Linked DNA regions of Drosophila melanogaster. The protein of the gene in region 2 purifies or fractionates together with the protein of the main gene of each other region. This does not show direct contact. Each region holds a gene or a part of one and is shown on either strand. Other genes may lie near its edges.

Region 1 (5,105 bases), 3.8 Mb from region 2:
CTGGCTGCCACTTAAAGTCGCTAAGCGATTTCTAATGGAAGCAATTAAAACGTCAGCCCCCGCCAAATATATTACCCTTTCTCCCAGCGGAGAATCCGCAGAAGTCGTAAACTTGATTTCCTATGCACTCAAATCGGTGGCCCCATGGGCGCTTTGTTCGCACATGGAGGTGCGAATTTTTCAGCCTGAAAGCAGATCAACGATATTTGCATACTCCAACAAACTAAAACTAGGGATGCCGTACGACTATCTGCGGGGAATTGGAGGTGTATGGGGGACTCGGACTCATCGTCGGCATTAATAAGTATAAATAACTCTTTGATGGGCAGCCGGTCGTGAGCTGGCCGGCGACTTTAGTTTGTTTAGTTTGCTGGCCATTTGTACAAAACACCTTTAGCTTCTACACGAAATATGACAAGAAATCAACCGAAACCGGTTTCGGCGTTCGATGTAATGTGATTTTTGTGAGAAATAGCCAGAAAAAAGCCCCACACTGGAAAAAATATTGTCCTAGGCTGACCAAGATATTATTTAAATAAAATGAGTACAACATATTTTATTTTGAAAACATTGCGGTAGCACAATGCTTATAAAGAAATGCTAATTCAATATGATGAAACGTATTCATTGGAATCTTCTTTTGAAAAATTCGTAAGCATTTCTAATCTTAAAATATGTGTTTTTCGACTTTTGACTTTATTACGATATAACTGGTTTCACATTATGGCTAAGCACACAATTGTTTTAATGGATTTCTGCTGTTGTACTAGACACGCTGACATTTAATAATTTTATAAGAAAAAACAATTATATTTCTTGCAGTGCATAGGAAAGCCGAGGAAAAGGCAGCAGTGTACGGATACGCCATGCTTGAAATGCTAAAAGATGTTTGTGAGCCCCGTTTGCTGGGTTGCCGATGTTGTCTCTGTTGCCGGTTGCTGTGGTGTTGCTAATTAAGATTACAGACATCGATACTTTTCGAAAAGCAGTGGCACGTACACATATGCTATAGCCTTTAGCCGCCCATATAGTATAACCCGATATGCGAGTAGCAAGATGGCCAGAAGCAAAGGCAAGGCAAGGCATCGGCTGATAGCCTCCCTAAAGTGCTACATCAACGCCGAGTGACAGCGATGAGGCTGTGGCTCCTGGCTTATTAATTATGTAGCTTAATTTGCGATTATGCAGATATGCATGAGCATAAATTTTGAGGGAAATAAGCAGCCAGATAACTCACCTGCTAATGTATGTGCATATATCCCGTCCGATTTCATTCAATATTCCATGTTGTTTTTATACTGCCCTGCTACAGTTTGCTTCGCGTTGTTTGATTTCGATTCGATTTCGACTATGCTTTTGGTTTGGTTTGGATTTGTTACTTTGTTTTATTTTGTTGGCCAGCTAGTTTTTTCTCTAATGAGCCGCAGACACGCCGTCTGAACGGATGAATCTGCGATGAAACCGAAAGAGATAGATGGTTAAGAAACCCGAACCTCTTAACGAACTTGAAACTCGCACAAAAACCAATTGCACTCTTAATTGGCCAAGATTTACGTTTCGCACCTCCCTTGGCAATTTAGTTTTGATTTCGTTAAGCTCACACTTCATTTACTATATATCCATACATATATATACATATATATGTATGCACTATCCGCACGTTTGTCATTGTGGCCAAGTGTAATCAAGTGCCGTGGAGGATCTCTCGAATCTGCTCTCGTTTTGACAACTATTACCATAACAAATCAGCGCGCCTGCCACTGACAGGGCCAATTGAACTGAACCGCGCACAGGGAGCGATGACAAAAAAATATTTACACGGCGCCCGACTATCGTAGGGCCGGGTTAAAGGGACATCTGATTGTGGAAGGTGTCTGGAGGGGAGTGGTTCAGGGATCAGGGGAAATGGCAACGAGTCACCAAACAACGACGCCCGTGCCGAGGCCATATCCTTGCAGCCTTGTAGTCCGTATTCCTTCTCTCTGTTTTTTTTTTTTTGTTGTATGCCACAGTCGTAAATTCCAATTATCGACGAACTCGAGGCACGGCACCGCAAACCGAGCAGCCAGCCCTTCCTTCGAGTGGAGTGGATCCGCTGAAGTGGTGGCAACTGGAGTTGGGAACTGGGGGAAGCGGAAGGGAGCTTGGAACCGAAGTGGAGCAATTTTCAAAGTCAGCCGCGGCAACGTTTGTTGCTATTTTAGTCTGCCGGGATTTTCATAAGATTTTTTCCGCTTTTATAAATATTTCTTTTTCCATGGCTAATCCTTGAGGTTTCAGACAGAGAATTCAGCCGCCCGTTGTTGTCGTGGTTTTTAACAAAATAATTTAAATACTTTTGCAGCAGTTCTTGGGGGCTTGGGGGAATGCAATTATATAAAGGCTTCGAACTATTTTACTCAAAAACTCAGCAATACGAAATTTGCTTTACGTTAATTGAATAAATTCCAATTTGGTAGGCAATATTTTACTGCATTACAAGTTTAAACCATGACCTTTTTCTTATGTTTTTTAAATTTATACTCAGCACTCAAAGTATTATGATAAACTTTAAAGGGTCATTGGAGTTAGTAAGCCACTGAGTAACTTTACAAGTTTAATTTTTCAATAGCTTTTAGCACATGTTTAAGTCAGAAATTAAGATTTCGTTTTTATTGAAGAGATTTTGGTAAATACAAGGCCCATTAGAGATTCGAGTGCTGTTGTAAACCGGTAAGATTTAATCCGACGATGCATTACCACTTGGCCAATGGTTGGGATTATACTTGGCTTGGCTCCTTGAGGCCACACACTTTTGCGATTGCTTGTATTCATTCATTAGGGGTATATTTGCATTTATCACTTTTGATGGTTTTTGGGGTTTATGATGGTTTTATTAAGCACTTGGCCACCAAATCCTGTATCCTGAGCACAATGCCAAACACCTCTTCTATGGCTACTCACACAGATACACCGCACTTGTGCGTTTGCAGAGCCGACTTCACTTGTGTGTGGGTGCGAATACGCGTTGGTGTGCGTTACGTTGCGAGTGTGTGAGTGTACGAGTGTGTCCGTGTTTCGGTGTGTGTGTGTGTATTTGTGCGAGGGAGCGCTTTAAATGGAAACCCTGGTGCGAACGGATTGGGCTACATTTCCACTTGGACCGCTCGCGTTTTCCGACAGCAACATGTGTACCGTTATAGCTTCGCGTATCTACTGGATACCCATCGTCGGAGTTCCACTCGTCGATGCGTTTTCCTCGCGACGTCTGCTTTGATTTGAGTTCGAAACTCGAAATTCGAATAGCCAGCCGAAGAGAAATGCCCGAAAGAGCGAGCCACACGAAACTTGGCATACGATATTCGGATCTTAACAGCGACCTATATCGTATGCGTATGCCTTTAGCCCTCCTGCTTTAAAAGCCACTACTAAAAGTGGTATTGACAAATTTCCTCTTCTTACGGGTCGCCAACAAAAGAACCCACCACCCACTTTCTGCTTATTTATGCGTAAAGATTGCCCCTCAATCCGGAGATATTCGCTGCGATGGGCGATAAAAGTTGTCGCTGTAAAAGTAATTAGAGCTAGACACGATTACACCATGTTCCATATCGGCAGCAGATACTCCCTGCTTAACAGATGAATAATCGTTTTGGCAAATATTCGCGGATGTTGTTGGGGGATTTCCACATTAAGTTAGGCCCAAGTATTAGGCCTGCTTGACTTGAAAGTTGTTGCCTAGATGATAGAAAAGCATTTTAAATTGCTATTCAGCGATGGCAAAACTTATGAAGATATTAAGAAACCTTTGTTTATTTATTGTCTATAAAATTGGACATCTAATTTTTTGTATGTAGTACATTAGCTTACTACAATTTGGTTTATAGCAACATTTTAAAATACACTTACAAAGGAAACTTAAACAAATTGTATTATAATCATTCTTCGATTTTTCCTAATAGTGTTTTTAACCTAAATACTTTATTTAAACGAGCATCTTTTAAAAGATTTTCTTCGAAAATGTTAAGAAAAGAAAATTCCAATTCGGATTTTGTTTTATTGTTTGAATGCAAACAGCGGTAAATGGATTATTTTTGTTTAAATTTGTACTTCCTGCATGCATCCGCTACATATTAAGAAAAATTACACCTTAGTACACAGCAAATTAAAGCCAAGTAAAATATTTTTCAAGCACTGGAAAATGAGGCCTGTCGGAAATGAGCCTTCGCGATGAATAATAATCCCCTAGACAGCCAATTGGAAATTAATTAAATCGAACAATATTTGCTCGCCTGAATTATTCACTTTTGCGGCACAACATTGCGCCTTAATTCAGATTCGACCAGAGCAGATGTTATTCATCATGCGAGTGCTGCTGCATTGTTGTTCTTTATCAAGTGATTGATGCGCAATATCCACACAATTTGATATGGAAAGGAAGTAGTAAAGAAGCGCCCGAGCAATTTGCGCCCGGCCAAAACCAAACCAAAAAGCCAGAGAAAAATCCCCGCCGAGTGCAGTCACCTGGGATTGGGGAATGGTGAATGGTGAATGGGGGATCGAACTCCATTGGGTGCCCGTGCCTGGCCTGGACTCGAATCGATTCCCCTCCCGTTTCTATGGAATCTGCGTCGGGTCGGTGCCGTGCTGGGCATTAAATCGTTAAAGTAACATATACAAATTAATGCAAACAAATACACGAGTGCCGCATGAAATGCATTCGACTCCCAGACATTTCTCTCCAATGACCTGACCGTTTGGTGGTGCTCCAGATCTTGTCAATAGTTACGACTTTCCGATGTGCCACGGAATGCTAAACAGATCAAAAGCCTGGCACGTGAATGCGCCGCGCCGCATCCCCCAAGATAAACCGACTCCCAAATATCCCGAAAAACCTGGACTGACAGCCACGAGGTGTGAGAATTCTCAAGTGAGATGGCAGTGCACTCAGCCCCAGTCGCCAGCACACCAGACTCCCACCACCGCCCACTCCCATAAGTCCTCTTCCAATACACTGGGGAAAAATAGTCAAAAATAACTAATTAGAAAAATGAAGCACTGGAAGAAAAGTATATTTCGATTGTCAGTCTTGCTAGCCCATAAATAAAAACCTTATTTGTGCTGTC
Region 2 (5,132 bases):
TCCCTGCTTCCCCCCATGCCCCACCGTGTGCATCCCCTTTAATGTTTTGCGGTGCTTAAATAAATTTCCACAAAATGTGCGTAATTAATGCGGAAATCTCGGCAGGGATTCTGTAAATCACTAGCTATCAATTTGTCTGCCCTGCAATCGGCCTAAGTGAAAATATCACTGCGTTTTAGATACAGTTAACATGTCTAAAATAGGTGCATAATGTTCAATTGCAATTAAGTCGCTCTTAAAGCGGAAATTAGTTTATATTTTAATGAAAAGTGAACCATATTCTATCTTGAAATGTATTGGGACTGTACTAATTTTCGGCAAGTGTTCGTTTCGTCGATTGTTTGCAATTGCGGTCACCACCATGTTGCACGCACAATCTGACGCCTTTCGGTTTTCTTATCGACTGGCAGTGTCCATTGATTGCAGTTCATTAAGCACGCGCAGGCTCACGCATTTTCCATTTCCCTTCATTTTCCACCAACCCCGTTGGGTCACCTTGCTCAACACCCAGCACCCACTCCATTGCGTCGACACCTGATGACTTGGCTCATTAGCTGGGCATCCCGTTCGCACCTTCAGGCACTTGACCATGGCCAGTTGCGTCCTGGATGTTGGACGCTGGAGTCCTCGCCCCTGAGCTGTGCATATATTTTCATAATATCCCCATCTCACCTTCCATTCACCAGCCACTCCTTAAAGCCTGATTCCGCATCTTGGGGCCATTATTGTTGATTGCTTATTCATGCATTCAGTCATTTATTCATATGCCTGAATCTTGGGCGTTGAGAACTTTGCTTGTTTGCCTTGTTATCAAAATTAAACTTTCCACTTTCGGTTCTAAGGACTCGTCCTTCCTCGCTGATATTCCAATCATGGCCACCGAAACTAGCCGAAATTAATTGCGCTGCTCGGGCTGAGTGCTGTTTATATTTTAAATTAATTATAAATATTTATTTATCCTGATTAGTTAAGTGGGCGGTCGGACTGCCTGCTCGTCGGGGGGGCTTAACCAAATTGATTTCGGTTTATTTTAGCATTGGCCAGCGCTTTTGCGGGGCCATCGATTACAAAGCGTTGGCTTTAAAGCCATCCGACCAACCAATCAGCCAGCGGCAATGGAAACTCAATTGCAAGCTGTCCATTACTCTTGGTCCACACTGAGCGGGAAATGCGGTTTAAGAGGAAAATTCTAGATCTAGATTAAATCGAAGCCAAGTTTTGATAACGAACATCGGGTTTCTGGCTCACGGAAAATGTAGTTTATGTCTAATCACTTAAGATGCGCTTTTTCTATGGCTAATATATGTAATATCTATTAGATTAATTAGATAAAAGCAGTGCATTGCTGAATATTAAATATCTTAGGTTCTTAAGCAGTGTCCCCCCTTTTCGCTCAATGTACTCGCATCAGACTCCGCTGCCTTGCTAACCGGATCCATTTTTCCCATCCTGCTGTCTTGCTTCTCTTTGTGGTTTTCTATAATTGATGGCAGCATCAATTCCAAACGAAATAATCAAGCCATACAGGAGGACCACGGAGGATGGGCAAGAGGGCTGGCCACGAAAAAAAGCAGAGCCACAAGTGCAGACGGTACAGTGCAGCACATTCGTGTATGGCCGGCTCACGTAGCCCGATTTGCCATGTTCCTTCGCTGCATACTTTCGTGGGCCAAAGTTAATTTCAGGTTTAAGTGGCAGCAACTGCAGCTGCTGCAGTCGAATTATTGAAGCCAAGCAAAAAGCGAATGGAACGTATGGGACGTAGGGGGAGGGGCAAAAACGTTTAAATGAAAAACACGAGTCAATTTATATTGCGCTGACGTACCGCCCGACATTTTCCAACACCCCCTCACCCAAACTCGACTGCCATTTAATCTTCTTCCATTTCTTGGCGCTATTTTCAAATGTTTTTCTTTGCTGTTTAGCCATTTTTTGCTGCTGTAGCAGTTGGAGCGAAAAAAGAACCCAAAAGCAAGCTTTGTGTGTTGGTTTCCTTTTTTCCGACTGCCCATGTGTGTTTGTCTCTGCTGTTTTTCCTCTCCCTTCTACTTTTTTTTTCCTTTTATTTTTTTTTTGGTAAAGCTGTACAGAAATCTGCACAAAAATGCACGGAAATTCATCTTGATTTGTGTTGAGCGTTTTTATTTATTTTTTTCCGACTCCCCCCGTGTATATCTTTTTCAAGGGCTAAAACTGCAGCACTTTTTTTTATTCAGCACATCTCTATATCACTTTGGTTTGGCGGTTTGTCTTCTCCACTTTATCCCCAGCGTTTTTTGTGCGAGTTTTGCCCTGGGGGCGTGGCGCACTAAATCAGAGACATTTAAGCGCGTTTTGTTAAAAGTCACTTACTGCACTCGACCATGGCTCATTTGCCGCCTTCCACCACCTACCTACATACATATGTACTTACCACAGAAAAGGCACAGTAGCAGTAGCCACTGGATCACGTTGCTGCCGTAGTTGCAACTATAGTTGCTGCTGTTGCTGCGGGTGATTTTTGTGCGACAGCAACACCTACGCACTGCCGTTGTCGCAATCTCTGCTGATGGCAACATGTGACTGTGCATTTCCGCGTTTTCCAGCTTGCAGCTACAGTTGCAAGTTGCTGCTGGTTGTGCTGCCACTGCTGCTGCTGCTGCTCTGAGTGATGTGCTAAAAGTTGATAGTGTCTGCCACATTGTCAACGCGCTTGGACACTAATTAAGTGCGAAACGAATGTCTGCTTGTCTCGGCAAATCCTTGCTAAATTATGCTAATTTATATTATTCCCAGAGACAGACCGCTTGTGTCCGTGGTTCGTTGGTAATTTATACGAATATATTTTTCAAATATTTCTCAGAGTTGGCACACACTTTATTACGTATTTCGATTAGTTGTTTGTGAATTTTCATTTATATTTTGCACGTCAAACTCAAACTTTATGCCCGCCACTATTTCGATCTCTTTCCTCGCGAGATATTCTGTCTCTTTCATCGCCGCGATGCGAACGCGTCACGCAATCGTCAGAATTGCGACTGAATGCTCGAATGTTGCTGCTGTCCGTTGGTGTTGCTGCCGTCAGTTGATGTTGATGTTGCTTTCGCCGCCGCTGCTGTCGCTCGGCAACATGTTGCCTGGAAAACGTCGATGGCTGTTGTCTTGCAGTTGTTCTTCCGCGAAAATGTTTGTCTTTTGACGTTTATGGGGGATTTTAGTGCGCCTCCTAATTACTTCATATGCTGCTCCAAAACTACGAACTGCAATGTCTGGAAGAAGACGGAGGAAAATGCCTCAATTAGTTGTTGACACAGGCAGAAATATTAATTTTATTGCTGTCTCGTAAAGTGCACAAAGTTACAAATAAAAATTCCAGCGATCGTCACGTGCCGCGACCCTTTTCCGGATTGATTTATGCGTTCAGGGACCCGAGATAGCAAAGTATCGCGACCCCACCCTGCCCAATGACCTTTCCCCAATCGGCGGGGGACTAATTAGCAGGCCGTCCACTCGAAGGCATCCAATTTGGATTTGGTTATTTCGCCGGCCGCCAGCAATCGGGTTTTGCATTATTTACGACTTTCCCCAATGCTCAATTATGCGCTTCAATGCAGGAAGCCGCACATTTGCCACCAGTCCTTCAAACTACGAGCATGCCCCTCACCATCCAAAAAAAAAAAGAGTTCTTCTCTGCTCCGCTTCCTGTTTTGGCATTGTTCACCAATTGTTTCAAAAACAAAGAAGGGCATTTTGTCCAAGGCGCACGTAGAGAAAAGGGCCACTACCTAAATTTCCTATTACTTTCTATAGTGTTTTATTAATCGCTTTTCGATGTAAACTAAAGTTAACTGATGACTATTATTAATGTAAACTCCAATAACATAATTTTATAAGTAACATGTTGATGTGTTTTCAATTAACAGAGCTATATTTGCAATGATAACATAACATTCTAGGAAGAAGAAAATGTATAACCTCTGCAACTATTATTTACCCTGTTACCGTTTGCTTCTACTAACATGCTTTTCTCTCAGTGTATGCAAAGTTTGGCTAATTGCTGGGGCAGCATCAGCATTGTTCCATGCATTTCCAGCTGACGGAAAATCGTGCGCTGAAACCAAAAATCACTTCCGCTTGGTCATTGATTGGTGGGTGGGGCAGGGGTAGCAGTGGGTTAAGCCCAGCGGTGGGTTAAGGGGGATATAGGCCTGCACTTCACACATCATTTCCTCTGCTCAACATTTATTATGCCATTTGTGTGAGACCGAATTGTCACAATTAGTCGAGAGGCGGGTGCGAAAGGGATGGATGTTGCGGCTCTATATATAGACCGTTTCCCCCCTGTTTTTTCCACGGCACTTTCCTCCACTTTTCCCACTCGTACTCATACCGAAGTGCCCTCCGATTCATTTATAATATTTTGTCATTGTCTGGCCGGCGTTGCTGCATTTTATTAATTTGTTTGTCATATTTTCACGTTTGTTTATTGATTAAAATGTGTGCACAGGCGTCTGACATTTTCTGGTTGAGCGATGGGTTGAAAGGGGAAGGGAATGGAATGAGATGATTTTGAGTCTGCTGCCAGCCGTTGTTGTTGTATCTGCGGTTCTTTCTGGCTGCTGTAAACATGTGTTGCCGGCAACATTATCACTGCTGTTGCATTGTTATTTTTATTCCCTGTCTGTTTCCACCAACTTCCCCTTCCCCCATCGCTACTCTTCCCTGTAGCGAGAAAGCCCCTGTCTGGTATTTTAAATAAAACATCATTTTTTGTAATTGTTGGCTCGGCGTGAAACATTCTATTGCCCCATCGCTTTCCCTCCCAGTTCTTTTGTTTACCTAGGCTACAGTTGCAAACATTTTCCTTTTCCCCACTTTTCCCCAGCTCATCCCCGTTTGTTTGTACAAATTATTATGAATGATAATTTTGTCTGTCGCATTTTTCATGCATTTTCCCCTCTCTGACGCTTTTATGGCCAACATTGTTGTTTTTATGCCTGTGGCTTTGTTTTATGAATTTTATAATTAATTGTGTTTGACATATTTTATATGCTTGTGCTGCTTTCGACTTTTTTGTGCCTAAATGATTTTACAATTTGATTGATTTTGCCTAATATTTTGGCATTTATCTTTACTGCGAAACACTATGGACA

Evidence for each region.
Region 1: the proteins of beat-IIb (region 2) and side-IV purify together in Drosophila melanogaster (affinity purification with western blotting; one large-scale study listed by BioGRID). This does not show direct contact.

What each region holds. Positions count from the first base shown.
Region 1 is NT_033777.3:13,448,563-13,453,667, reverse strand, and holds the start of side-IV (sidestep IV), read right to left. Parts: upstream 3,079-5,105; 5' UTR 2,740-3,078; intron 1,451-2,739; 5' UTR 1,238-1,450; intron 1-1,237.
Region 2 is NT_033777.3:17,244,858-17,249,989, forward strand, and holds the start of beat-IIb (beaten path IIb), read right to left. Parts: upstream 3,021-5,132; 5' UTR 2,682-3,020; coding exon 2,414-2,681; intron 1-2,413.